Linked DNA regions of Rhinolophus ferrumequinum. The protein of the gene in region 1 interacts with the protein of each later gene in a pairwise test. Links are inferred from orthologs where the notes say so. Each region holds a gene or a part of one and is shown in the gene's direction. Other genes may lie near its edges. The genes, in order: PNMA5, ZMYND19, CCNC and CSTPP1.

Evidence for each region.
Region 2: the proteins of PNMA5 (region 1) and ZMYND19 interact in binary tests that used the Homo sapiens proteins (3 or more experiments, as listed by UniProt). The two-hybrid records come from large-scale screens. The link is inferred for Rhinolophus ferrumequinum from reciprocal best matches to the Homo sapiens genes PNMA5 and ZMYND19.
Region 3: the proteins of PNMA5 (region 1) and CCNC interact in binary tests that used the Homo sapiens proteins (3 or more experiments, as listed by UniProt). The two-hybrid records come from large-scale screens. The link is inferred for Rhinolophus ferrumequinum from reciprocal best matches to the Homo sapiens genes PNMA5 and CCNC.
Region 4: the proteins of PNMA5 (region 1) and CSTPP1 interact in binary tests that used the Homo sapiens proteins (3 or more experiments, as listed by UniProt). The two-hybrid records come from large-scale screens. The link is inferred for Rhinolophus ferrumequinum from reciprocal best matches to the Homo sapiens genes PNMA5 and CSTPP1.

Annotation. Positions count from the first base shown.
Region 1 is NC_046284.1:7,195,734-7,202,887, reverse strand, and holds the start of PNMA5 (paraneoplastic antigen-like protein 5), read left to right. Parts: upstream 1-4,144; 5' UTR 4,145-4,278; intron 4,279-4,932; exon of another isoform or gene 4,933-4,943; intron 4,944-5,157; 5' UTR 5,158-5,293; intron 5,294-5,757; exon of another isoform or gene 5,758-5,982; 5' UTR 5,983-6,043; intron 6,044-6,235; 5' UTR 6,236-6,360; coding exon 6,361-7,154.
Region 2 is NC_046295.1:83,566,127-83,573,460, reverse strand, and holds the start of ZMYND19 (zinc finger MYND domain-containing protein 19), read left to right. Parts: upstream 1-4,318; 5' UTR 4,319-4,528; coding exon 4,529-4,579; intron 4,580-4,762; exon of another isoform or gene 4,763-5,121; coding exon of another isoform or gene 5,122-5,127; intron 5,128-5,713; coding exon 5,714-5,773; intron 5,774-6,524; coding exon 6,525-6,631; intron 6,632-7,225; coding exon 7,226-7,334. UniProt on the Homo sapiens protein: May be involved as a regulatory molecule in GPR24/MCH-R1 signaling.
Region 3 is NC_046286.1:54,286,921-54,293,882, reverse strand, and holds the start of CCNC (cyclin-C), read left to right. Parts: upstream 1-3,954; 5' UTR 3,955-4,293; coding exon 4,294-4,325; intron 4,326-6,962. UniProt on the Homo sapiens protein: Component of the Mediator complex, a coactivator involved in regulated gene transcription of nearly all RNA polymerase II-dependent genes.
Region 4 is NC_046294.1:14,138,755-14,145,997, reverse strand, and holds the start of CSTPP1 (centriolar satellite-associated tubulin polyglutamylase complex regulator 1), read left to right. Parts: upstream 1-4,237; 5' UTR 4,238-4,371; coding exon 4,372-4,450; intron 4,451-7,243. UniProt on the Homo sapiens protein: Regulator of the tubulin polyglutamylase complex (TPGC) that controls cytoskeletal organization, nuclear shape, and cilium disassembly by balancing microtubule and actin assembly.

The DNA of each region.
Region 1 (7,154 bases):
ATGAAGCATTCCGGCCTGTAGTTGATTGCAAGCACTTTCAGGGAAGATTCAGTGTAAAACAAAAAATTATCTGTGAATGACTTAAAATGCCCATGGTTAAAGATCTGATGAGAGTTCATTACAAAAATCATGCAATTGACAAATTTGGTTGTTTCTGTGGCATGCAACACTTTAGAAGTCCAAGGCACTATCCATGACTATGGAGCCACTTTGTGGCATGCAACATTTTAAAAGATAACTAGAATTATGATTGATAATGCTATACTGTTGTTTAATATCAGGCAAAGCAGAACCAGGACATATTCTGGACAGTGACGGTATTGGCAAATCTCTAGGAACTTCATACAATTTCTGAAATATTTTTTTATTTTTATTTTTAAAATTAGTTTCAGCTGTACAAAACAATGTAATAGTGAAATATTTATATTAATAACATTTTGCCCACACGAATTTAACTTAGGGAGGGTTAGGCATCTCTTCTGATTGACAAAGCCTCCCATGCAATTCAATATATCAAATAAACCTAATTATTTCTAACACCTGTGATTTTCCAGGGTCCCTCAAAGAAGGTCGAGATCAAGAATACATCAATTAGGATTTGAGTTTAGGAAGGCAAAATATCAAAGTTGTTGGGAGGTTTGAACACTTGGCTAAATAATATCATGTGTCAATGAGAAACACTCCTTGGCTTTCCATTTAACCAAAGTGACAAAACATTTTAAAAGAAAAGATAGGAAGTAACGCAACTGAAAAGAACCTTAGTTCTTTCAAAACTGAAAAGGTTTGGTTCTCAAGCAATTAATGACATGATAAAGTCAACATGAAGGACAGTAAATTATTCTAAGACACAGAATCTTTGCTTTCTAGGCTGATTACTCAGAAAGCAAAGCAAAACAAAACAAAACCTTGGGTGGCTGGATGGCTCAGCTGGTTAGAGCACGAGCTCTGAACAACAGGGTTGCCAGTTCGATTCCCACATGGGCCAGTCAGCTGCGCCCTCCACAACTAGATTGAAGACAAGAAGCTGCTGCTGAGCTTCCAGAGGGGTGGCTGGATGGCTCAGTTGGTTAGAGCGCGAGCTCTCAACAACAAGGTTGCCGGTTCAATTCCCGCATGGGATGGTGGGCTGCGCCCCCTGCAACTAAAGATTGAAAACGGCGACTGGACTTGGAGCTGAGCTGTGCCCTCCAAAACTAGATTGAAGGACAACGACTTGGAGCTGATGGGCCCTGGAGAAATACGCTGTATTATATATATATATATATATATATATATATATATATATATTCTATCTATATATATATAATATATATAAATGCATATATATAGCAAAGCAAAACCTTTTACAGCCTCTTACTAAGAGCCTACCAATAATCTAAGTTTTTTTTCTCATTTTAACAAGGAAAATCAAATTCTAGTTTCGCATCAGTGTACTGCTTAATATTACAGCTCATTTTAAAATAGCTCATAAATAAACCCATTGAACTTTAGCCAGTTATGACCACAAGAAATAAAATTTATTTTCTACGAACCTTCTACAACTTTCATTTTGATTCAAGTTTTGTCCTGTTGGCATAAAAAATGTCCAAACCTGTAGATAATTTTTATAAGAATTTGTTTGAGCCAATCTGACAACATATGCCAGGAAGAAAGATCTTAAATGCTCCAGAGACTAACAATGTTGCAGCTTCTTTTATGCATTTGAAATTAAGGAGGGAACTAAGGAAGATTACATGGGGGTGGGAGGAAGCAAGGCCAAGATTGGATTACAGGAGAGGAAATAAGATTATGTGCTCTCTTGAGTGTGGTTTTGCTTCTGAGGAGTCTGAAAGGGGGTATTTCAAAGGTGTGTTGACCTAGATGCACAAGAAAAACGGACAGGGCTTGCTTAAAAACTAAAGAAGTTTTTTTAGATTCCTGTTTGGGCACAATTGTTCTTCAGCAGAGACCTCTTTCTTCCAGATACCGGCACCATTTAATAGTGATGCCATGGTAAGGAAATAGACTGGAATGCCCTGGGACTAATTCTCTCTGGCTTTTAGGCACTAAAAAGAAAAAGAAAAAATTCCATCAGGTCTGAATAAGCCAATTCATGGACAATTATGAAGTGAGAAGTTTCAAGACAGACACCTATTTCCTAACATTAGGTATGTCAGCGAGTAAGTTATAATTGGGAAAATAAAAGAGATGCAAATTTATTTGTAAAAAAAAAAAACTGAAGAAGTTACAGGCCTAAGGCATGACTGACTACCCACCATGGCCTGTCCAATTAGGAATTTATGATCACATCACCCTGTGAAGTTCCTTTCCATAGGACCCCTTTTTTCATCCATAGTCCTACGCTTTCGTCTTTGTCATTCTGGAACAGCCAGTCATTTTACTTTAGGACAAAATTAGTCGTTGTCCTTAACAAAAACACATCCTGCATACCTTATATACTTAATTTAGTATAAGGTTTTAAGTTACCTAAAGATCTTGAAACCTTTAGGGCTGACATACTACATATGAAATATAATTACTGTTAAAATAAAGTTTTGTCAGAATAAGTTCACTTTGAAATAGTACATACACATACATACACAAAAACATACATATAAAATAAATAATCCTGGCAATGTAATGTACAGCATGGTGACTATACTTAATAATACCATATTGCTTATTTGAAAGTTGCTAAGAGAGTCAATCTTAAAATTTCTCATCACAAGAACAAAAATTGTAACTATGTGTGATGATGGATGTTAACTAGACTTATTGGGGTGATCATTTTGCAATATATACAAAAATTGAAGCATCATGTAGTACACCTGAAGCTAATATAATGTATGTTTTCAGGGGTATTTCTTAACCTCCCAGGATCACAGGGCCAGCACACCTCTTTCCATGATTATCACCCTTTGTGATACCTTGTAATACCTATAATACCAAGTGGCTCAGTGGTGGTTTCATGGAACCACAGTGATCTGGTATGATGAGAACCCTCAGGTAAAATGTCCCACCTGGGGTCGACTCTCTGACAGCACCAGGTAACCATCTTTTCTTGGCATGGGAGATAGAGTTAACAGACTCTTAATAGTGTGTTCTTATTATGTAAGGCCTATTGAGGCCTTCTCAGACATAGCAAACAAATGTCGTTGAAGGGGAACAAACATGTTGCTCAGTAACCTTTCATTTAAAATTTTATTTCCTTTAAATATTTTTATTAAAGCATTATAGGACAGCCTGTTCACTTGTATCCCTAATAAAGGAAAAGAAATCTATTTTTTCACCAAAGGCGCATAATTTCTGGATCTGAAAAGTAATTACAGGCTTTAGAGCCTTGGTACTCAAAGCCTAGTCAGAGATCTGTAGCATTGGAGTCACCCAGCTTTCGAGAAACACAGACTCTCACTCACCCCATCCTCCTGATGCAAACATGCATTGTTATCAAGACCACTTTCCATTGTGCTACCTGTAGCCCCCTAACGCCCATTGTTGAACAGCGCATTTGGGTCCTGAAGGCCCCAGGGCAAATGTTCCCTGAGTGGAAGAAACCTTTCGAAAAGGGCAGGAAGCAGTTTGACTATTAGGTGGGTAATGGGTAAATCCACTTGCTCATAAAGTCAAGAGAATAATGGGAGAATGGAATCCTTGAATCCTTCTCTGTCTCTTGGTGAACTCCAAAAATTTCCATGCCCTTGGGAAATACAGGGAGCAGCTGTATTGTTGCCATGCTCCATTAGAACACAGCGGAAGAAAAAATAAACAGGGATCAGGACTTTTCTTTAGAAAGCACCCTCTGGGGCTTTAGTTTTGCACCCGGCCCTGTGATGACTTGCAATTTTCAAATTTGAGGAGGGGCACTGGTGATTGTTACCGCACAGCTCGGGTAGAGTACAGAAGAGACAATGTAACAAGAGCCACAATGGCTCCTGGGCCTGGCGTTCCACGTGGCAGGCCTGGTGGTCTCTTTGGAGATAACCCAAGGCCGGAGCAGTCCAGCTCTGCACTGCAATGTACACTCCCCCGCAGCTTGATTTGAACTCTCTGTCCCCACCTCCGCCAAGTGCATCGGGAGAGGAACAAGGGCTGAGACAAGGAGCACCCCCTTTCGAAGGGGGAGGAGGGTACCATTCTGCGATGGCGCAGGGACAAGCAGGCCGTGTGCCCCTGTTGGGGGCGCCAGGGTTTCTTATTTTATAGCCTCCTCCCCCTAACTCCTGGCCCAGTGTGCACCGGGGCTACAGAAGCGTGGTGGCTGTGGTTTTCTGGCGTCTGGCCTGCAGACATCTCCAGTAGGTAAGGAGTGGGGCCCTGAGCAACCCAAACCGCAGGACGTTGTCCCCAGTGGCCCTTGCCGTCTTCCTTGGCATCACAGGGGGCCCCCTGGAAATGGGATCCTACTAGATCAGGCTTGGCACCCCGCGGGCTCCCTGCCATTTACAGGCCATAGCAACCAGCCTGGGAACTGCAGAGGAACTGATTCCATGCCTAACCCTGCCCAGAGCCATTGCAGTCTGCATATCCAGAACAAATGGCTCTCGGCCTTGCTCTGGAAGGAAAGTGGCTTCAGCCCTTCCTCTCCTGGCCCCCGCCAACATCAACTGACCAGATGTATTCCTACTACAGAATGGGGGGTGTTTGAGGTAGGGGGTGTGTAACGGGTGGAGGTTTTAGGGAAGGGGGTTTAGTGTGGGGGAGGGGAGTTTAGGGGAATGAGAATAGGAATAGGAGTTGGGTTTAGGTGGGGGGCAGGGCTTGGATTGAGCTGTAGGGGTGGAGCTTGGTGTCAGGGGTTGGGCTTGGGTGGGGGCGGGGCTTGGCGTCAGGGGTTGGGCTTGGGGAGGGGCGGGGCTTGGTGTCGGGTTGGGATTGGGTAGGAGTGGGGCTTGGTGGGGGGGCTTGGATCAGAGGTTGAGCTACAGTGGGGGTAAGCCTTGGAAAGGAGTGTGACTTGGCAGTAGGTGGGTATGAGTGGGGGTATGAAATTGAGGGTGGGGACAATAATCTTAAAGTGGGATTCCTCCTGCTATAACAGTGGACCCCAGTGACAAGTTTCTTGTATCTCTGCACCAGGGTACCTGTGGCCAGCTCTGCAAACTTAGAATTGGCACAGCCTGAGCAGGGGCACGTGGGGCAGAACCCTATCAAAATACCTCTGCCTTGTCTTGGGGACAGGTCCAGTGGAACAGTACCCCCCCCATACACCCTGGGGCCAGGAACTGCCTGACTGTGGACAGCTGGAGAGTTGACTGAGTGTTGAGTGCCTGGGGCATCCCTGTATCCACACCAGCAGAGGGGCCTACTCAGCAAGGTGAGTGGTGGTGAGGAGGGCCTGTGTTGGGAGGAGCCTCTGTAACCCTGGCAAAGATCAGGAGGGGGAGGGGCTGCCTGCCAAGATGTACAGACTCTGCAGGGTAGGGTCATACCTAGACAGAGAGCTGTCTGTCTCCTGAAGTGTGGCACTGGTGACCTTTTCTGGGTCCCCTTTCTGCCCGATTCCAGCTCCCACACATTTTAAAATCATAAGCTCTTGATTTTTTAGCATTCCATCCTTGCTGCCCACCCCCATCTTCCCTCCCCCGAACCCCCCCTTGTTGCTGGGACACTACATTGGTTGGAGGCCAGTGACATCACCTGTTGCTCCTGGAGGGCCTTAACCTTACCACATGACACCAGTCTGCGATAGAAACCCATGGTCCACGCTGTTCTCAGTATCCATGGCAACACTGCAGCTTGTCACAGGCTCTCCACACCCACCAGTTTCATTGCATTGCGCAGAACTCCAGCCATCTTTCTCATCTGTCGGGCATTTTCTGAGAAAGAGGGGAACTCTGCATCTCCCTCCTCCTCCCTTTGCCCTGGCAAAGAGGTGCCAGGTGCCTGAGGCCTGAACAGCCCTGAGCCAGGGAGTGGAACGTTCTGTCCTCTCTTGCTTAGAGGGCTTTCTCAGTGTCCCCAGTCATCAGGCCGTGCCTCCTGACGCTGGCCTTTTTACTACAGGCACCTGCAGCACCTGCAGCAGAGTCCTTGGAATTTGAGAAGGAACCCACAGCAGGAGGAGGTCAGCAGGGAGGGCATGAGGTGGGGGGAGCTTGGACTGGGAGGCCCCTCTACAGTCTATACTCCACCAAATGACTAGGGGAGCCCTGGGAAGCAGGGACTGAATTCCTGTGAGTGGAAGTGGGGGAAGAGAAGGGGCTCTTGATAGAGGGGACTTGGCGATAATGATGCTTTCACCCCAATTGCATTACAGGCTGTGGAAACCTCGGACACTTCTGCCTTTGTGCTTGGCATTGGCTCAGAATTCACTGAGCTGTGGTCAAACTCTGAGCAGATTACTACCCCTAGTATTAGATCAGTTCATAGAAAGTGGAAGCAATGGCCGCTGTGACACTGTTAGAGGATTGGTGCAAGGGGATGGACCTGGACCCTAGGAAGGCCTTGCTGATTGTGGGGATCCCCGTGGAGTGTAGTGAGATGGAAATTAAAGAGACCGTGAAGGCAGGCTTACAGCCCCTGTGCGCCTACAGGGTGCTGGGCAGAATGTTCAGAAGGGAAGACAATGCTAAGGCCATCTTCATTGAATTGGCTGACTTTGTCAATTTCACTACGATACCCAGTGAGATACCAGGAAAGGGAGGTGCCTGGGAAGTGGTGGTGAAACCCCGTAACTCAGATGACGATTTCATCGCTAGACTGAACTACTTCCTGAAGGATGAGGGCCGGAAAATGGCAGATGTGGCCAAAATCCTGGGGTATAGCAGTGTCACTGAGAGCGTGGAGCCAGAGGGTTCTTCCCAGTTCAAACTGGCAGTTATTCAGCCTCTGAAAGAAACCATGTGGTACCGAAAACTTAAAGTGTTTTCGGGAAATACTTTCCCAGGCTCAGGTGAAGAGAACTTTGAAGTCTGGCTAGAGCACGTCACTGAGATTATGAAGGTGTGGCAAGTGTCTATGGTAGAACAGAGGCGCCGTTTGCTGGAGAGCCTACGGGGCCCTGCCCTGTCCATCATGAGGATGCTCCTGGCTAACAATGACTCCATGACTGTGGAGCAGTGCCTGGACGCTCTGAGGCAGATCTTTGGGAGTAAAGAGGACTATAGAACCTCACAGTTTAAGTTTTTTCAGAGCTTTCAGCTGTCTGGGGAGAAAACCTCTGTTTTTTTGCTACG
Region 2 (7,334 bases), on another chromosome or scaffold:
CAAATAAGCCAGAGAGACCCTCTACAAGTGTGGACGTTCCTTATGCCGATGGGGCCATCTCCCCTCGACCTTGAAGCTCCCAGCTTTAACTCGTGTTCTGGGTAATGATCCACCAGCCTCCGCTGTCACTCCTCTCCACAGCCAGGTCAGCTCCTGACTCACTGTCACTCTGTCCAGTACCACTCTTGTTAGAATTCTTAGCAATTTCAGAATCCACATAGGTGACCCTTCCAACCTCCTGGCCTCTGTCTTAAAATGTACCCAGGATTAGTTTTAATCAGGTAAAGCGACAGACACAGAGACAGTTGCTTGCAAGTCTAGTACTTACAGTGCCACACCACATAGGGTCACGTGGGAAGTAGCAGCATGGCTCCGGAGGCAGTGGGGAGGGACAGCACGGCCCAGAGCCCATATTGTTTTCTGTGGGAAGGAACAGTGAGGCAGTGCAGGTGAGTTTGAGCCCTTAGGATGGGACAGTGTCAGCAACTTCAGTGGGCTCGGCTTGGGGCAGGCTCTACTTGTCCAGCACCTGTGATCAGATGATTAGGATGATTAGGAAATCCTGGCCCGGTGTGCGAGTTAGATGAAGGAGGTGGCTGGTGTGGGCTCTGCATTGGTTGGTTTGCTTGTGGAGGCGTGTTTGCTGTCTCTAGGAATTAGCTAGCCTGGGAGAGGCAGGCTGTCCCCAGCAGCAAGAGTCCCCAGATGTCAAAGTGAATACAGAAAATGAAAGCCATGACCAATACAGCTCTCATTACGCCGACTCCCCTCCTCCAAGAACCTTCTCCAGCTGACAGCACCTGATGGCATTGTCGGTTGGTCTACAAAGATGTCTGCCAACCACTTCTCCCACCCCTTTACTTAAGTTCACGCTGTTCCTGCCATCAGAAGGTGGGTTCCATTCCTTCCCATTGAACTTTAACTGGCAGTACTGGGATGGAAGAGATGCCATGCCAGTTGCAGGTTCTTGGGAGCCCCAAGATGCCACGAAAAATGTCTGGTTAACCTGCTGGAGAGATCGCACAGGGAGAGATAGAGTGCCCGGGCACGTGAGTGACACCAGCTCAGACTTCCTGCCTCAATTACCCCCCAGTGACTGGCTGTGCCAGTGCCATGGCCGTGTTAGCTATCGACTACTGCAGCACAAACCACCCCAGTTTCTTATTCGTTCTGAAAATAGGCCCCCGAGGAGGAAGGTGGGTGTAGTGACCAGTCCTCAGGCCTGAGCTGTGAAGTCCCATAACTTTCTACCACATTAAATGCATCAAAACAGTCACAGGCCCAGTGCAGGTGGAGCATCACAAACATACAGACAGAGCAGGAACTGGTGCTGACGACAGGAGACAACTGGCCTCACCAGCCAACAGCACAACCAACCAGTTGAGCCCAATCGAGATTCCAGAACCACGAGCACCTGAATAGTTGTTTTAAGCCAGTAAGTTTGGGGTGGTTAGTTACGCAGCAACAGGTAACTGGAATGGATATTGGTCCTTAGAAGTGACACATTGCCACTACAAAATTCCAAAGTGTGCCATTGACTTTGGAACCCAGCAGCAGGTGCACACACCTGCAGGGCAGTGAGGGCATTGCTGATGGAGGCTGGAGACAGCGTGAGCCGGGATGGATATTGACAGAAAAATGGCAAGACCGCTGCTTGTGGTAATGTGGAAGACAGAAAGTGAATCTAATGATTTTCCTGGCAGCGGCTTAAAGGGCCAGTTGGCTTCTTTCCACACAAGAAGGCAAACCAAAGGGAGGGGAGTGTTCTCAAAAACATTTGCGGTGCAGCTTTTGTCTAATGGAGTAGGTTATAATTTGATACATAGAAAGTCCACAGTTGTATTTTTAATTTTTTTTAATTGGGGAATATTGGGGGAACAGTGTGTTTCTCCAGGCCCATCAGCTCCAAGTCATTGTCCTTCAGTCTAGTTGTGGAGGGCGCAGCTCAGTCCCAAGTCCAGTCGCCGCTTTCAATCTTTAGTTGCAGGGGGCGCAGCCCACCATCCCATGTGAGAATTGAACCAGCAACCTTGTTGTTAAGAGCTTGCGCTCTAAATAACTGAACTATCCAGCCGACCCTCCAGCAGCTCAGATGCAGCTTGTTGTCTTCAATCTAGTTGGGGAGGGCGCAGCTCACTGGCCCATGTGGGAATCGAACTGGCAAACCTGCTGCTAAGAACTCGTGCTCCAACCAACTGAAACATCCGGCCACCCCCAAATCCACAGGTTTTTAAAAAGGGTTGTATTCTGCTTGAATTCAAATGGACAGACTTTGAAATAAATGAGGGCTTTGGGCCCCTGACTTTCTACAGGCAAATGGCTGGCTGAGGAAGCTACCCAGCAGCAAATATGGGCTACTTCCTATGGAAAAGGGAGGATGACAGAGGTGCAGGGCCAAGGTCCTGGAAAAGCCAAGAACTGCTGAAAACAGTAGACTAGGAGAGCTCTTACAGGGAGCAGACAATCCATGCTAAAGGAACATCGGGACAGATGCCTGGCTGCATTTCAAATTGCTATGGACCAGTGACTCCACAGTGCACTCCTCCTTTTTCAAGGGGATGTCTAGCTCTTGTCCTATGGAATGGAATGTTGGGTGTTGGGGTACAGACAACAGGCCTCTGCAGCAAAAGGAGCCACACTCAACGTGCCTTGCCCACACCGGGCCGTTTTGTGCATCATAAAACAATGGACCCCAAGCCCAGTACCTTGATGAGACAGTAATTCTGGAGGTCTTAGGAGGCCCTGAGTGCAATCTTGCTGTGACAGGGGCCGCAGGGCAGACTGGGGCAGGCTGTGCCACTGGTGCCCACGCCCCCACCAGTGAACCACACTTCCCAGAACTTGTGCTCTGCTGCACAGCCCTCCTACACTGGCTCTGGGCTTGCCTGCATGAATCGCTTTGTCCAGTGGGGTACTAGAAAGCATAATTCCATCAGAGGCCCAATAAATGCTTGCCCAATGGGAAGCGCCCTCTATGCTGTAAGGAAGTGCAGGTGTCCTGCCTGGTCACGTGGGGAAACCCTGTACAGTGAGATACGACACAGAGAGGTTATATGGAAGAGAAGTGAGGTGCTCCAGTGAATTCCCGAGTGAGTGCAACCAAAGGAGGGACCCAGCTGCCTGCCCCCTCTGTCTCCTTAGCCAGAGTGATGCATTGGAAAACTACTCTGTTCAAACCCTCCAATGGCGTCACTTGTTGGTTCACTCCCGGTTCACCCGTCTGGTCAAAATGGCCACCTTGATGTTTCAAACACGCCAGATGTGTTCCCAGTTGAGCCTTTGCCCTGACTCTTCCCTCTATGCCCACGTCTCGCGCCCTCTCCTCTCACTGGTTGTTCACGTTGACTAGTCAGCGAGGCCCTACTCTGCTCACCACCTTCACTGGGACCCCCGCCCCAACATTGATCCACTCCTTTCCCCACAGCGTTTATCACTTTCTAACACGGGCGTATAACTCACTTATCATAGGCCTTTTCTGCCTCCCTCCCTGGAAGATGAGCAAGGGGGTGGACATTTGCTATGTGCACTGGTGTGGAGGCGTTTCCGTGGGTAGTGGAGGGAGTGGACGCCAGCAGAGACGGGGGGGTAGGCAGAGGCCCCCCACCCCCAGACGTCAGGCCCTGGAGTTGCTGTTTAGGAAGGACCTGGACCAGGCTGGTCAGTGCCCTGGAAATCGCCCCGTCTCAGTAGAGGAGCTTGAGGCACAAGGAAGTTTGGTGTAGCCAGGGCCGGGGGGCGGGGCCCGTGGTCCCCACGCCGCCTCTGTGAGGAGACGGCGGGCGGCCGGGGAGGAAGGAGGGCGGTCAGGGGCCCTGCCAGCTAGCCGCATTCGGCTCGGGCCGGGCCGTCTTCGAAGTCCTGCAGGCACTGGCCACCCCAGACCCGACTCCACCGCGGCCCCGCAACTCCCGGGTGCCGTCCGTACACCGGGCCGCCTGCCGGCTGCCCGGCGGACGCCGGACCGCTTATGGGGAGCCGCAGCGAGTCCTGCCAGACGGTCCGGGGCGCGCAACCAGGCCCCTGGGCCGCGCGCAGTATCGGGGGTTGGTTGCCGGCGCGAGGCCGGGAGCTCGGAGCGCCGACGCCCGCACAAAGCTTCCCGCGAAACTGACGTAGCGCCAGGCGGCCGCGCAGGCGCCGCCCCCGGCCGCGCCCCTCCCCCGCGCTCGCCCCGCTCCTCAGCGCGCCGGCGCTCTCGCCCGCCTCCCATTGGCCGCGGCGTGGCGGCGCGCGCCGGCCGGTGCAGGGCGCGCCCCGCTATTGGCCATGCGGCGGCGGGCGGGGGTGTGTCCGTGCCGCGCCCCGCCCTCGCCTCCGCTCGCTGTGGTGCGCGCGGCGGCAGCGGCGGCGCGTGGCAGGTCCGGCGGGCGCGAGGCGGCGGCGGCCCGAGTCCGGCCCAGCCTCGTCCCGTCCGGCCGCCCGGACCCGACCCCGGCCCGCTCGCCCGGCTCGCCAGGCGCGCCGCGGCCCCGCCCCGGCTCGGCGCCTCCCGAGGGAGCGGCGCCGCCGGCCGAGCGCAGGCCTGGCCATGACAGACTTCAAATTGGGCATCGTGCGGCTCGGCCGGGTGGCCGGGAAGGTGAGCGGCGCAGGGCTGGGGGCCCGGGGCTGGACTGGCGGCGCAGGGTTTGGCGGTTGTGCGGGCGGCGGGCGGGCGGCCTGTCCCCGCGGTGGGCTGCCCTCCGGCCGCGGCCTGGGGCTCCGACGGTGCGCCGGGGAGGAGGGGGCTGTCGGCTGCACCTGCGGCGCGGAGAGCGCAGCGCCCCTGCGATGCGGCGCGCTCGCTCCTTGCCGAGGCCGGTGTGTGCGCGCCGCTCAGTGCCTTCGGGTCCTAGTGGAGCTTCGCGCAGGTTTCACGCTGCCAGCGGTGGCCACGTCTGGCCGAGCCTCAGTGGGCCTCGCCGGGGCAGGGCCTCCCTCCGCTTCTCTCCCGTACTCGGCCCCGCCCTCCGCGTGTTCGAGGCGGGGGCTTCCTAGCACCTGTGGTCATCGAGGCTTGGCTGTTTCCAGGAGCCGGCCGGCCGTGCAGCTGCACCAGCCGCGGACCTTACCCTGGATGGGAACCCTGTTCCCATCACAAGCGGCGGAAGCTTCTGGGGAGAGAGGAGCACAGGCAGTGAGATGAAGGTAAAACGGACTCAGATCCTAGAAGAAGCTTCCCAGGCGAGAGTGAGTGGTCCGGAGGCCGTTACCTGCCCGTCCTGCAGGCGGCGTGCGGCTTTCTAACTAGAAGGGTGGGCTCTCCGCAGTCCGAGGCTCCTGCTGACTTACCGACCGGTCGTGTTAATGTCCTCCTCGAAAGCTTTTGCTGGGGACAAAAAGCTAAAAAGGACAACTCAGTGAGCACCTGAGTCCCGAGTCCCGTTTAATCAGCAAGCACTGCAACCTTCTGGATATTCTGCCTCGGCCCGGGGCTCGTCTCTGCTCCAGCGACGCCGCCTGTTGGACTGGGTTTATTGGCACATCATTCAGACGCACAGCTTAGAGGCTGGCCGGCCAGTCCCGTGGCACCTCGAAGGCTTAGTCGGGTGCGGGTGGCAGCGAGGCCTGAAACCTGCTCCAGGGGTACCAGCGATTGGCACGTCCACCTGCGCAGCGGTCGGCTGCTCCGCCCCGTGACGGCCCCCTCTTAGGCTGATGGGCCGCCCCTGCCTGTTGCCAGTGCCTCCGCCAGATCCCCAAGGTAATGTTTCGAAATGTGGTTGCTTTCTAGACCAAGTACACGCTGATAGACGAGCAAGACATCCCGCTGGTGGAGGGCTACTCCTTTGAGGTAAGGGCCCCCTTCCCTCTGCAGGCCTGCTGTCCGTCAGTGCCCGGCAGGGCCGTGAGGGATGGTGCTCTTCCCTGAGATGTGAGGGCAGGACCTCGCATGAGGACACGGGTCTGTGCTGCCTGTGTCACGCAGGGCCTCCCTCACGTCCACCCTTCTTGCCAGCTCTTTCTGAAAAACAGAACAAATTGTCACGTTTGTGACTGGATGTTCAGTTGGACAGGCCCCGGCACCTTGGGAGACTGTCCCATGCCAACTTACCTTTTCTCTGGCCTTGGCCCCACTGTCTGTCCTGGTGCCCAGTGCTCCTTTCATCTTCTGAGTGCCCCACCTTGCTCTGTCTGTGTCACTCACTCCTTCCTTAGGGACACGCTCCAGGCATCTGTGGGCCAGCACCCCCATCTCTGCCCTTCACGTTTTCACAATGGTGTCTTGTGCAGGGGTTCATCTTGCTCCCGGGATTGTGGGCTTCTCGGAGGGGCGGGGATTTATGTCGCTGTGCCCACGTATTGTGCAGAGTGCTTCATGAGTGTCTTGCTTGAATTCATGAGGGTGAAGAGGGTGCTTGTTGGGGCACGCTGGCATATCCGTGCCGCGTGTCTTTGGGAGCTTCTGCACATTCCCAGGGCCCCAGGAACAGGCCTGGCATTTGTCCCTCTGTTTGTTCACGTCGCTCAGTGTTTCTAAGAGGTGTTTAAAATGTTGCCGAAAATCAGAGGCTTTCTAACAGATCTCTTCCCATTCCTCCTAGGCCAGGATGGAGGTCGACGCAGATGGAAATGGCGCCAAGATATTTGCATGTGCCTTTGACAAAAATCGAGGAAGGGGGTCAGGAAGGCTTCTTCACGAGTTGCTGTGGTGAGTATTTTTGAGCTATTGTTCCATCCCTGGGTCTTGCATGAGTCCTGATGTGTGTGGAGCCAGTGGAGCCACCTGCCCTTGTTTACAGATAGTGCTTTTGCATCGTTGCCACTAAGTGAGGAATGAGTGACTACACACTGTGGCACTGGCAGGGGAGCCTAAAGTTTTCAGCCACCAAGTGCCCTTTCTGCTCCGGTGTTCGTTCTGGGGTACACAGTGTCCTCTGGGGGAGCATGGGGCCTCGTCCCTCCTGGGCTCTTGCTGGGCCTGTTAGGGGGATGTGGGGAAAGGATGGCTTTCCTCGGTGTGCTCTGTGGGGTCCAAAACGCGGGGGGCCGTGCACATGGGGCATTTTCTAGGCCGTGTGTTAGATGGTTTGGGACTCCAGCCATGGCCTCTTGCAGCCTCGCTGACCTGCCAACGTGGTCTGTACGTTTGAGCCACAGACTGACACACGTGGAGTCCTCTGGGCAGCCTGCTCCTGCTGCGTCCCCTACACGGCCGTGTGAGGAGGGTCAGTTCAGACCACATGGCTAACAGGCTTGGGTAGGTCTGGGAGGTGGGGTTAGAGACCTGTCTGTCTGCCCCCAGGGAGCGGCACCGAGGGGGCATCGCCCCCGGCTTCCAGGTGGTACATCTGAATGCGGTGACGGTGGACAACCGCCTGGACAATCTGCAGCTGGTGCCGTGGGGCTGGCGG
Region 3 (6,962 bases), on another chromosome or scaffold:
TCTCTGCCATGTGAGAATTCAGCAAGAAGGCAGTCTTCTGCAAGCCAGAAAGATGTTTCTCACCAGAAACCGAATCACCAGGTGCCAGGACCCGGGCTGGCACTTTGATCTTGGACTATCCAGTCTCCAGAACTGTGAGAAATAAATGTTTGTTATTTAAGCCATACAGACTATGGTATTCTGTTATAGAAGTCTGAACTGACTAAGGCAGTTATACAACTAGCAAGCGGCAGAGCTATTAGTTGAACTTGATCAGTGTAGTTTAGAGACTGAATTTCTAACTAGTACACTTTACCATAAGTTAGAGGTTTACTCGTCTTAACTAAAGTATCCAGGAGTTAAAATAAACGAAGACATAATGAATGAATATAGAGGAGATGATATTTTCACAACGAAGACTGTTAGTACCCCAGCAAATTACAATAATAATTTAATTAAAAGTGAGAAGATGGTCTTCACTAATAGTGTTTGGGAGGAGAAACTTCTACTACAAACCTGAAATAATGTGTCTATAGTAGTTTAGTCGTTATAGTTCTATTGAAGCTGTACAGTTGGGTGAAAAGCTCATTGCCCTGGGAATCAGAAGAAATGGATTCTAGCTGTTCTTGCCACTAACTAGGTAAGAGAGCTTGATAAAGCCCCTAAATTTCTAGGCTCTGAGAAATAGTATTCGTGGTGCTGGAGAAAGCATTGTAAAAAGGAAAAAGGATAAATATTTTTTTGTCACAGAAGAATCAACATTTGTATCAAGAATTTATTAATCACATCCTTATTTAAAAAGCATAAGATAAATAAAAAATTACAAGGCACAAGATTGATTAATAGATTCCAGTAAGTTTAAATCACACAAGTATGAGGACTGAGAAACAATAAAAAAAAAAAACCTAAAACTATAAAGAAAAGTTAAAAAAAAAAAACAACACAAAAAGCTATCAGCAAAAAGAAACAAACCTACATGGCCTATCATCTTTTGCATCCAGATAAGTTGATATCTAGGCATTTTAACAGCTTTTGTACATTGCTGTATTCCACCAGATATCCTTAAATAAAGTTAGCTTTTGGTTCAAATCATTCAATTCAACCTGCCTTCTGGAGTACCCTCAGTGACAATTTAGTCTAAAAATAGTAACGCCAAAACTTCAGACCCCTGACTTGAGTGGCCACTGGGAGCACCAGCGCTGTTGTGCATTTGGAATTCTGGGTGGGAAGCAGAAACCAGGTTGCAGGTGGGAAGCATTTCTATGTAATATTTCTGGTTAAATTGCCTAGAACAGTTCACAGAAGGACCTGAATCTTCAAGGCTGTAGTAATTTGTTATGATTTCTTTTTGCATTCTAAATACTTACTTTTCAACCTGATTTTATGTCCATATGTTACATTTTTTCTTTAAGCACCCTACTCCCCAAATACCATTGCCTGCTGTGCCTATGTGTTATGCCCTCAATGAATGGTGATACCAAGATGAAGGAACTCAGTTTTGTGGGAAGAAGAGTGCAGAATTAGGCATGAAACAATGTTTGTCTAGTGAAAGAAATAGTGTAATGGGGGCACATAAAACAAAACATTTAATAATACTGATTTGTCGCAGTACCCTTATCTTCTGGATGATGTCAGGCTGACAACCTCTGAGAGAATTAAAGAAATTCTGAACCTTTATGAAGTAGCCTAGTGGCCTAGAGCCTGGTCTTTCTTTCCTTCTTTCTTTGCTTTTTTTTTAGTGCCAACCTCTTTATTACTTTTTATCTTTATTAATCTTATTGGAGGTGACATTGGTTAGTAAAATTATATAGGTTTTAAGGTTTAAGTGTTCTATAATACATCATCTATATACTGCATTGTGTGTTCACCACCCAGAGTCAGTTCTCCTTCCATCACCATACACTTTGTCCCTTTTCCCCTCTTCTACCATCTCCTCCCCCCCTACCCTCTGGTAACCACTAAACTGTTGTCTGTGTCTGTGTTTTTTTTTGTTTGTATGTTTATCTCGTTCGTTTGTTGCTTTCAGTTTTATATGCCACATGAGTGAAATCATATGGTTCTCAAATTTTTCTGACATATTTTGCTTAGCACAATAATCTCAAGATCCATCCATGTCGCAAATGGTGGTATTTCATCTTTTTTCATGGCCGAGTAATATTCCATTGTGTATATGTACCACATCTTCATTAAATAATCATTTATTGAAGAACACTTTGGTAGTTTCCATGTCTTGGCCACTGTGAATAATGCTGCAATGAACAGAGAGGTACATGTATCTTTATAGATAAATGTTTTCGGACTTTTGGGGTAGATACCCAGAAGAGGGATTGCTGGGTAATTCTATTCTTAATTTTTTGAGAAAACTCCATACTGTTTTCCATACTGGCTGCACCAATCTGCATTCCCACCGCCAGTGTATGAGGGTTCCTTTTTCTCCACAACCTCTTCAACACTTGTTTTACTTATCTTGTTGGTAGTAGCCATTCTAACAGGTGTGAGGTGGTATCTCATTATGGTTTTGAGTTGCATTTCCCTAATAGCTAGTGAAGTTGAGCATTTTTTCATATATCTTTTGGGTTTGGTGTTTCTTAAGTTACTACCTTTCAAACTTTTTTTGACTGTGATCTGCAGTGTAGCAGACAGTAGTGTTCATCAAATATACTACCGGCTCCCCTACATTTCTCAGCCTCCCTTGCAGTTAAGTTAGAAGCATGTTCCTATTCTGGACAATGGGAAGAGAAGAAGTGATTGTTGTTTCAGGTTTAAGTCTCTTGACGCTGATTAAGAGCCAGTGAGAGAGTCCTAGGCATTCTCTCTAGAAAGATTTTAAGCCTGGAGGCAAAGAACCAAGAGAGAGTAGTTGAAAGATGGAAACATACTGCATTCTTGAAGATCAACCATCAAGGAGAGAAGTCTAATCCACATCAAACTTTATAGGACTTTATGGAAGTGACGTGTGACATATTTTTGTTAAGTTACTAAAAATACATTTCATATCTTGAGATAGCACCTATATAACATGTAACTGAATCAAAAATTTTATTTTATTTAAATACATTTTTTTAAAATTGGGGACTATTGGGGAACAGCGTGTTGCTCCAGGGCCCATCAGCTCCAAGTCGTTGTCCTTCAATCTAGTTGTGGAGGGTGCAGCTCAGCTCCAAGTCCAGTCGCAGTTTTCAATATTAGTTGCATGGGGCACAGCCCACCATCCCACGCAGGAATTGAACCAACAACCTTGTTGTTGAGAGCTTGCGCTCTAACCAACTGAGCCATCCGGCTGCCAAGAATCAAAAAATTTTAAATAATATCCTTATTTCTAACATACCTGATAATTTAAAACTTAATTTAGGAAAATGCTTATCATTCTCAATTTCACCACCCCCTAATTGGTCTCCACCCACAGTGTGAAAAATACTGTCCCAAGCTACCTCAGAACACTGACCTATCAGTAACTTTTAAGTGTGCCTAATCTTTGGAAAAATGATTATAAGTTTTACAATAATTGCAATATCACAATGATAACAGAAATGGAAAATACAAATTATTTCATCTTGTAAAATTAAATTATTGCAATTTTGGCTGTATGTTTCTATTTGGTACATATATGTGAATATGTATGTGTGTATATACATATACATGTAATAGAGAAATGCTTTTAGCTGTTCTGCAAAACTGGTGGTTCTCTGGCATTAAAAAAAACAAAACATTGTTACTCTAAATATTTCTGCCTCACTCCAAAAGAACTCCATGAAAAACGTATGCGGCTTGGTGCCAGTAGGTTTTGGTAGTGCCTTGAGGCCAAAATAATCTTTCTCTTTCCAATCACAGGAGAAAGAATTGAATTCATTAAACCTTTAACACAATGCCACCGTGCCGCTTTGGAAGCGTGTAAAATGGAAAAACAAAACCTGAACTGGGTTGCTTCCCAACTGCCTGCCCACTCGCGAATTGGCACTACCCCCAGTAGACCAAACCACGCGGGCTCCAGCTCTGGCGCGAAGGTCTCGCGAGAGCCTAGTTCCCAGGCACTATCTCAGCGCGACCACAGGCTGTCTCCTCCCAGCCGGCTTCCTCCGCCACGGCGGGGGCGGGCCGGAACTTTTATCCATAGGAACCGCTTTACACAGTAGAGTGTTGCCGGCCGGCGTCAAGAAGAATTGGGTGCCATCCTCTTCCTCTTACCGTCGCCGCCGCGGAGCGGAGCCGAGCCGATCAGATTGAGGAGCGCGGTTACCGGGCGGGCTGGGTCTATGGTCGCTCCGCGGGCCGCTCCGCCGGCTGGTGCTTTTTTATCAGGGCAAGCTGTGTTCCATGGCAGGGAACTTTTGGCAGAGCTCCCATTAGTAAGTGATCTTCCGTCTTCTCACCGTGGGCTGGCTCTTGGGGGGCGGTGCGGACGGGGCCTGCGACTCCCGTTGGCCTGGATCCCGGCCCCTGTCCCGAGTGCCGCGGAGTCTCCCGGGAGGCGGCTGCGGCCGGAAGCGGGATGCGTCTTTCTCTGGCAACTCCTCTCTCCCCGCCCCCTGGCCGGGTTTGGAAGGTGGGGAAGATCTGTTAGCGGGAAAGGTGGGGGAAGGGGGTTCGGTCTCCGAGGTAGGAAGGTTCGGGGTTTTAGTTTCGTATTTTTGCATTAGCTAGGCCTGGAAGGGGGTGGGGTAGGATGGGGTGGGCACAGGTATGGGAAATGTGACCCAGTTCTGGACTGTGAGGCTGGCTCTTCAGGATAGTTGTGGTTCATTTTTTTGCCTCGGATCTCTTCAGTGGGTTGGCATCGCAGTCTTTTGTCATTCACTTTCTGTCCTGAGTGGATTTAATATTATTTTGAGGAGAGGGGGAGCCAGACTTATTTCTTCACACTAACTGATTCCTGCCACTACCTTATGCCTACGTGGAGGGTTATGTTGGTAAGGTACAGGGCAGGTGCGCTCAGAATTTATCCATTTCATTGGTCTGTGCCTTATATTTTAAGTGTGTATTTTCCATTGATGTTGCCTATTTCTTCAACGTTTTTTAGAAGTTTTTGTTTCTGTCAGTGACCATGGAAGAGCTAGAGTAATATTTAAAATATTTTCCCCTACATCCATTTGGTTAAGCAGTCAGGAAGGTGGGTGACCAGACTGAGTGAACTTTGACTAGATTTTCCAAGTACAGTTGGAAGACGAACGCAACCTGATAAAGATTATATCTTAGTGTAAATAATTTTTAATGTTAAGAGCATTAGTAACTGTAATTTAGATTTGATTCTGTGAAAAAGATGGATTTCTGTTCATTCTTTTAGCCCTTTGCAGGAGGAAAAAAGGAACAATGGGCTTGGAAATTATTTTCAGAAATCAAGTTTTCTTCTTGCTCTAGAGCGATTCTGTGGAGATGAAATGCTATAGAAGCATTATTTCTGACCACATTTTTCTTTTACATTTCACTCACTTGAGTATTTGCTTGGGCAAAATTAAAATAACGAAATTTAGGCAGTGGAGAAGAGGTATTCTGATGAACTTTGAAAGAAGGTGCGAGAATTGATAGGTAGCTAGCTAGCTATTGATGGTCAGAATTTATGTTTTTCAACTTAAAAAAAAAAGGTCCTCCCGCCTTTTGATAAGCATTATGCCACAGTGAGAATGCTTATCAAAAGAGGGGCAGGATCTATTTTATAAAAACAATTTTTCACATTTCAAGTGTAAAATTATTATAATATTAAATGTGCTGTTTTGAAACGCCTTGCCTTCCAATTCAAATAGTCCTGATGGAAGGGGGCCACTTGACTTTCTCAAATTCCTTGACAAGCATGGAGTCCCTGCTCTGTAAAAGGTAACAAGTATGAAAGACAAGACAATTCTGGAAAAACAAAATAATTATGAAAGCCATTGTTTTAGGTGATTTTGGTGAAAGGAAAATTGACGTGAAATATGCTGTATTTCATGACTCTAAGATGCACATTTGAGTATTTCTGAAATCAGCATGGCATAATAGTGAATCTTAAAATCAGTGTCATCTTTGATGAAATGAGGTATTTATAAGTTTTGGTTTATACTCCATACTATGCGCTGTGAGGAAAAACTTTTAAATATTTGTGAAATTTATTTTTTTAAAAACAAAATGACTAGAGATGAAATTAATGATAATTCTGGAAAAAAAACAAATCACAGTATTTTCTAGAAAGTTGTATTAGAACACAACACATTCTTTGACTATGATGCAGTCAAACTAGAAGGACACTAAATACTTTCTAGACTGAATGGATTAATGAACAGGTTACAAAAATTAAAAATATAAAATTAACTCTGGATACTTTATTGTATCAAAGAGGAAACTGAAAATACAGTTACATAATATCAAAGAAATAACATAATGACATCAATGTATATCCATATATTGTAGCCAAAGCCAAATTTGTAATAAAATTAATATCCTGAATAACTTAGAAATAAAAATAGATCAAATATTCTACTTAAGAATATTAAAAAGGAAACAGTAAAATAAACCTAAGGAAAAAAAGAAGAGTAAAAGTAACACTGATATTAATGTATTAAAAGGAAAAAATATAGTCAGAAATTATGTAAGAGCTGGTTCTTTGGAAGGGAAAACCAAAACAGTAGACTAAACTGCTAGTTGAATCCAGGTGAAAAGGGATAATACAAAAACACAAAATTAGGAATGAAAAAGGTAAACCCAGATGTACCTTTGGGTTATCTCCATGGTAATAAATTTGAAAGTCAAAATAAATTAAGAAAGTTAGAGCGCGACTCCTTAAAAAATGCTCCAAGCCCACATTATTTCATGAGTAATTTTTTTCCCACTATCAAGAGGTCCTGATAATGAAATTGTTCTAGTTCACATGGGAAGAAAGAAAGCTTTCCAGTTTTCTTTATGAAGCTACAATACAGTTTTCTTTATGAAGCTGGTAAAATCTAGCAAAAGTAGTACTAAAAACAGTCTCACTTTTGAATATTGATGCAAACATTATAAAGTATTACCAAGTGGAA
Region 4 (7,243 bases), on another chromosome or scaffold:
GTACATTCTAGGTGGAGAGAAGAGCTTATGCCAAAGCAAGAGGGTGTGAAAGGTATGTCTGGAAACAGTGAGTAAGAAAGTGTGGCTGCAGTATTAAGTATGTAGGGAAGAGTGAATGGCAAGGTGGCTAGAAAAGTAGGTTGGGAGCAGACTGTGAAGGGATATACTGTATATCTGCAGGTTCAGGAATTTTGCTTCATCCTAGTAATGGTGAGTCAGCAACACTTTTTAAGTAAGGAAGTAACATGCTCATATTTGAATATTCGGGCAATAAACTCTTGTCACAATGTAGAGAATGGCTTGGGGGAGGAAAAAACAGACAGAGACTGCAGCTTTTCGTCCTAAGATTCTGAAATTTGGGGCTTTCAGTTCATATCCTAAGTTTATTTAATGATTCCTAGTGTATTCCATTCCATCCTCCTGAACTAATTCTCCTAACTTGTCTCTATGCTTTTTGTTGAGTTAGTTGCTTTTTTTCTGAGCATTTCTTAAGATTTAGTGATCTGTCACACGCAATAGTTAGGTGTAGGAAGGATATGCCAGTGCTTTCTGATTGATTTTTAATGCCCTTCTCAATGATGCCTTGCATTTTGCTGGACTTTTTTTTAATGAATTTGTTTTGTGAATTGCTTCCTCTGAGGCAACCATAAGTCCTATGAATTGGATGGGCTTCGTTTTCTAGACTTTTAATTTACAGGGGGAAATTCTATTTATGGTATTCAGGCATTTATTCTGTCAGGAATTGTGCGTGGTCCTAATATTTAAAAGATGAATGAAGACTGTGTCTGCCCTCAAGGAATTCACAATCTAATGGGGATATCAAATAATTATTTTTAAATGATATAAGTGTTTATCAAAGCGTATAGTCTAGGACAGAGGAAGGCACAGCTAATTTTTGTGGGCTACTAAATCGGAAATCTTCCTCCCTTTCAAATGACACGAAAGTGTAATTCCTAACTCTTTTTGCAGCATTCGAAAATATAAAATAACAAGAAGGTACAAGTCTGTAATTGTCTCTGAGCTGTAGTTCAATTTAAGCCATGTCCTCTTACTCACTTTCTCATAATGTATTAGTTATTCTTAACTGTCCAAGAGTTTGTGGATGTTTCTTTTTCTTTGCAAATTCTCCAGTCTGTTGACCATGGCTGTCCAAAATGCCTTGTCTGTAAGTAGCATTTTTAATGTAAACATGTTAATCCTATACAGTGGCATCGAATTTAGTTGCTGCTTTGCTCTTAAGGAGGGTAAATCTTTTAAGAAGAGCCTAGTAGCTCAGAATGAATTTTATGACCTGCATTTCTTAGCTACTTCGCCTTTAGCATCTTTTCTGCTTGATGAGCTGATAAAAGCCTGTCCTAGTTTCTTGAACCTGTTTTGTAGCAATAATTCAGCCAGCCTGGATTTTTTCTTTCCTTATTGTTTCCTTGAGGTTTAAAACTATTTAGTACACTTATGTTTGCTTTTCTGTGGTTTCAATTCCAGGGAAGATTTTCTTCCCTAGCAATCTCTTCATAGGTTCTTGGCAAAGCCAGAGATGTCTATTAATTTTCTATTTATAATTAGGAATTATAATCTGATAAATTGACATATCAACATATCCTCTCTCGTGGGTGTCTCTCCTATTGTTTTCAATTTGCTGTTTCCATTCCTTATGCTATAATACTTTAACATCTCATGCCCTCTCTGTGTTTTGATCAATTTCATATCACCTGCTTATTTTCAGTATTGTGGAGTTGTTTTTTGATTTACTAGATGCTTCTTTGTTTAGGGAAATTTTTCAGAAATATGATAATTTAAGGACTTGAAAAGCTCATCTAAATTGAAGGCTGACTTTTTGTTCTTTCCTTAACATTCAACAGGGTCACAAAAATACACTTGGCTTTAACGACTCTTATGTATTTCTACTCTCCTTAAGACTGATGTTTTGGCTGTGTCACTGAAAAATATCTTCCACCACTGATGTGTTGCCAAAATCTATTATCATGTAATCTATGGCAGAAGAGAAATCTAAAAGTAGTAGCTCTTTCTTGGGAAAAACAAACACTATCTGGAAGGTCATCACTTTTGCTTAAAGAATATTTTAAAGATTTTTCAAGCCACATATTGGGTTGTTTATGTATTTTCAGATTATAATATGTGCCTATTATAGAAAAATTTTGAGAATACAGGGAATTATAAAGAAGAAAAGTGTAAGCAGTCAGTAATTCCACCACCAGTAAAAGGCTACCTGTTATTTCTGTGCAACCCCAAATTTTCTTGCAGGCTTAGTCTAGTAACCACCTACCATTTTCTGAGTCTTCTTCCTCAATAGACTGTTCAGGACAGTAAGAGTGGAAGACTGACTTTAAATATAAGGGTCCTTAGGATTTTTATGGAAGGGATGGAGCTGTAGGAAAAACCTACAAATTGCTCCAGAGATGACATCTTGTTCTTATTTAGCTTTCTTTGAGTCATTAACAGTCGGGCGCCACTGGTGCTGAAACTTGTCATTATTATAACCGCAAATGGGTTAATGCCCAAACAAAGCTATATTCTTGGGGCTGGTTCCCAGCTCCACCACACAGACCTCAGCAGCAGCACCCTCCAAGTCCCAGGACAATGCTCCACAAATAAGAGAATGTCAAATGGTCAGCCTGGACTCAAAAGTCTCTTCTTTTATCTGGGAGCTTCCAGTTGCTGGCAGGGCAGAGCAAAAGGAAAAATAAATAAATAAAAACCAAGTCAACAAACCCTAAAAAAAGAGGCTGTGTGGTTTAGTGGTCAGACCACTAGCCTGGAGGCTGGGATAACTGAGATACAGTTCCAGCTCTCCCACTGATTGGCCGGATGATGCTAGACAGGTCATTTTCCTGATATGTTCCTCAGTTTTCCTACTTGGAAAAGGAGAAATGCCTTAGAAAGTCTTTATGAGGACAAATGAAATGATCTGCAAATAGCTTCAGGTTGCTTGGAAATAAAATGAAATTGTAATCATTAATGATTACTATCCTATTACATTATTAATAATGTAGTAATAAGCCATGGGTGTGTAAATTATGAAACTGCCATACCCTCAAACTGCACTGGTTAGGGAAATGGGGAGTGGGTGAGGGCGGGGAAAGAAGGAAGTTTTTTTAAATCAAATTTGCAGGACTTCACATCAAATATCAAATTAGTAAATTCATTACCTCAAGATAATATATGCTGTTCCTAATTTGGGTCTGTCCCTTTGTTCTTACCACATCCAAACTCAGAGTGACTCACAGGAGCCTAGAAACGAGACATATACAATTTTAAGGGAAAGGGAGAATTAGGAGTTTTGAAGCTCCTGCTGGAGGAGGCTAAGAATAGACCACTCAAAACACAAAGAAGAGAACCTCCTCTTCCCTTTTCCTCCCAATGTAGGTGGTCCACTGGTTTCCCAGTCATTCCTTTGATAGCATGATTTTTGTTTTCTTTCTTTTCTCAAAACCTCACCTTGTTTTGGTTTTTTTTGGGGGGGCGGGCGGGGGCAAAGGGACTAACTTAAAAAGTGAGAACAGAATCGCTTTTTCTAATAGGTTTCAATTGTGACAAGTGCTACAGACCTCTAACCTGTTGTTGGGAGTGGAGGGGAGCCAAAAAGAAGGATCTGGACTTCTTGGAACTTGTTCTCCCCTCTTAAAGAAGTGAGCAATTTTGGCATATGAGGGGAAAAATCCAATAGGTGTCCTGGTTTGTGTATCCCATCCTCTCAAGAAGTGAAGTGTCTTGGTAGGAAAAAAAGAACGACACCTTGGAAGGGTACCCAATAGTAAGGGATAGGAGTGAAGGGAAGAACTAAAGATAAAGAGGGATTTGAGAGGGATCGTCAATGAACTCTTAGAGGATTTGATCAGCACCTTCAGTGTGTCCAGGCTAGTTAGGGGCAGAAAAGACATTTCCCTGGCCTCACGGAGCAGCCAAGATATACGCACGTGAAAGCATTTTGTAGCAACTGAAGGTAATCAATAATAAAGAGAGAAAAATAGGTAACGGAATAGTAAGTGTTTATGGGAATTTATGGGTGGGAGCCATTGTGAGTTAGGATAACAGCTGTATAAAGCAGGAATAGTTATGAAATTCAGAAATCGAAGATATGGAGAGCTGGCAATAATTCTTCGACACTGGGAAATATGATGGATTCGAAAGAACTCTCCACCTCAAATTCCTCTAACACCAACTCCTTTACAATAGGGGCCCTAAGAAGCCTCGACTGCCGCGAAGCGACCGCTTCCGGAACTAGTGTGGCCAGCTTGGCGTTGCGATACGGAGAGTGTTTGCGTGACACACCTTCCTCCCCCTGCCTCTCCTCCCGCTGCGTGGGTGCCATGGCAACGGAGAGAGCGGGCGACCTGGATTCCGGAAGCTGGGATGCTAAAGCTTGGAAGCTACCCCGGTCAAAGGATGCTGAGTCCGGAGCGCCTAGCCCTACCGGACTACGATTATCTGGGTAGGAGCTTCCTTCAGCCCCGGGGAAGGAAAGAAGTGCAGAAGAATTAGGCCGGGGTCTGGGTGGGAACGGATCGGGGTGAGATGGGGAGGGTGGGGAGGGAGACGCGGTCCAGGGCCTGAGCCTGTAAGGCCGAGCGAGGTGGAAAACAGCATCTGGGGAGTAAAGAATATCTGAAGTGTACGAGCGGGAGCTCAGGCAGTGTGGATTGTGTCCAAAGTGGGTTAGCTGGGAGCTGAGAATTTGGGGCCCTTTTGGAATGTTATTGATATGCAGGTAGTGAAGTAACCTTGGAACCTGAAGTGCCAAATCAGTCATCCTGTGAATAACATTTTGTTATAGCGGCAACTACTTTTTGAGCGTTTCTTTTTCGTTAGGCATTATATTAAGCATTTTACATGTATTCTTTATTGAATCGTCAAAACAGCCCTAGGAGGAAATATTGTGTTTTTTTCCATTTTGCATTCGGAGAAACTGAGGCTGAAGAGGTAAATTGCATAAATAAGGCCACATAGTTAGAAAATGGTAGAGCTAGGATCAGAATCTAATTTGCCCACTCCAGAACCTGAGCTCTTGTCCACTAGGGCTGTAGCTCTATTGAGTGTCTTAAGTGTGTAAGACTTTTAATGGATGAAAAAAAGGATGTATGCACACAAATTTTTAAAAATTAATAGACCTTGGGGTAGCCGTTTAGCTCAGTTGGTTAGAGAATGGTGCTGATAACACCAAGGTTGCTGGTTCGATCGCCGCATGCGCCATTGTGAGCTGTGCCCTCCTTAAAAAAAAAAAAAATTGATAGACTTTTTTTTAGAGCTGTTTTAAGATCACAGAAAATCGAGCAGATAATTACACAACATTCACATGTACTCCCTCCCACCTCCTCAGAGTTTCCCCTATTATTAATATCTGGCATTAGTGTAATACATTTGTTACAATTGATGAGCCAATATTGATACATTATTATTAACTAAAGTCCCTAGTTTACATTAGGATTCTGTCTGTGTTGTTGGTTCTATGGATTTTAACAACTGCATAATGTCGTGTATCTGCCATTATAGTATCATGCAGAATAGTTTCACTGCCCTAAAAATATCTGTGCTCCACCTACTCATCTGTACCCCGACCCCCAACATTTCGCAACCACTAATCTTTCAACTGTCTTTAAAGTTTTACTTTTCCAAAATGTCACAGAGTTGGAGTCAGACAGTATGTAACCTTTTATAAATTGTGAAAGAAGTGGCTTCTTTCATTAAACAATATACATTCAAGGTCCCTCCATGTTTTTTCCTAGCTTGATTTCTTTTTGTCATGGAATAATATTCAATTTTATGTATGTACTGTACATATTTTAAAAAAATTTTTATTGGGGAACAGTGTGTTTCTCCAGGGCCCATCAGCTGCAAGTCGTCCTTCAATCTAGTTGTGGCGGGTGCAGCTCAGCTCCAAGTCCAGTTGCCGTTTTCAATCTTTAGTTGCAGGGGGTGCAGCCCACCATCCCATGCGGGAATTGAACCGGCAACCTTGTTGTTGAGAGCTCGTGCTCTAACCAACTCAGCCATCTGGCCACCCCTCTGGAAGCTCAGTGGCAGCTCATTGTTTTCAATCTAGTTGTGGAGGGCACAGCCCACTGGTCCATGTGGGAATCAACCCAGCAACTCTGTTGTTCAGAGCTTGTGCTCTAACCAAGTGAGCCATCCGGCTGCCCTGTACATATTTTTTAATGACAAACAATTCTAGTTAAAATTTCTGAATTGGTAATGTGGAAGCTGGATTAAAAAATATAAAGAAGTTTATAGTGAAAAGTCTCCTCTCACCTCTTGTCCCCTGCCAGTTCTCATTCATACTCAGCCCCGACCAGTAACCACTATTACTGGTTTCCTGTGTATCCTTCTAGAGTTTATTTTATTATGTACCTAAGGGACAATACAGTGAATACTTTTTTCATTTACTATATCTAAGAGTAATTTCTGTATCAGTAGAGAGCTTTTTCATTCTTTTTATTTTTCAGCTGCATAGTATTTAAATAATTTATTTAATCGATTTTCTGTTGGTAGACAATATGTTGTTTTTAGCCTTTTGCTATTACTAAAAATACTGCACTGAGTAACCTGTAATTTCGTTCCTTTACTGGTATATCTACAAGGATCAGTTGCACAAAGTGGAATTGACAGGTCAGGGGTATATGCATTTTAAATATTGATAGTGCCAAATTGCCCTTCCTAGGCATTGTACCATTTTACACTGCCACCAACAATATAAGAGCATGCCTGCTTCTCCATAGTCTTTCCCAACAAAATATAACAAACTTTTGTATATTTTCAACCTAAGTGACATATAGTTCCAGCGTAGTTTTAATATGCATTTCTTTCATGAAGTTAAGCATCTTTTCGCCAAGTTTAAGAGCTGTTTGGTTTTTGAAAGCTATATATATATATATATATATATATATATATATATATATATTATATATAAAGATAGAGGTATATATTTTATATATATATATACATACCTATATATATGTGTATACACACACACACACACACACACACACACACATATATAGAGAGAGAGAGAGAGAGAGATTAATTGACCACATCCATTCATCAGCCAAAAGGGCATACTTATATGACAGATAAGTTTGTATCCAATGAGTAATAATATCAGTGTCTAGCAATACCTAGACTTTTGCTAAGGACTTTACCTATTTTATTTATCCAGTACTCAATGAATCTATGAAAAGCTTAGTCCATTGTTCCTTTCCTTGGGTATTTGCCATTTAAATTATATGTCTCA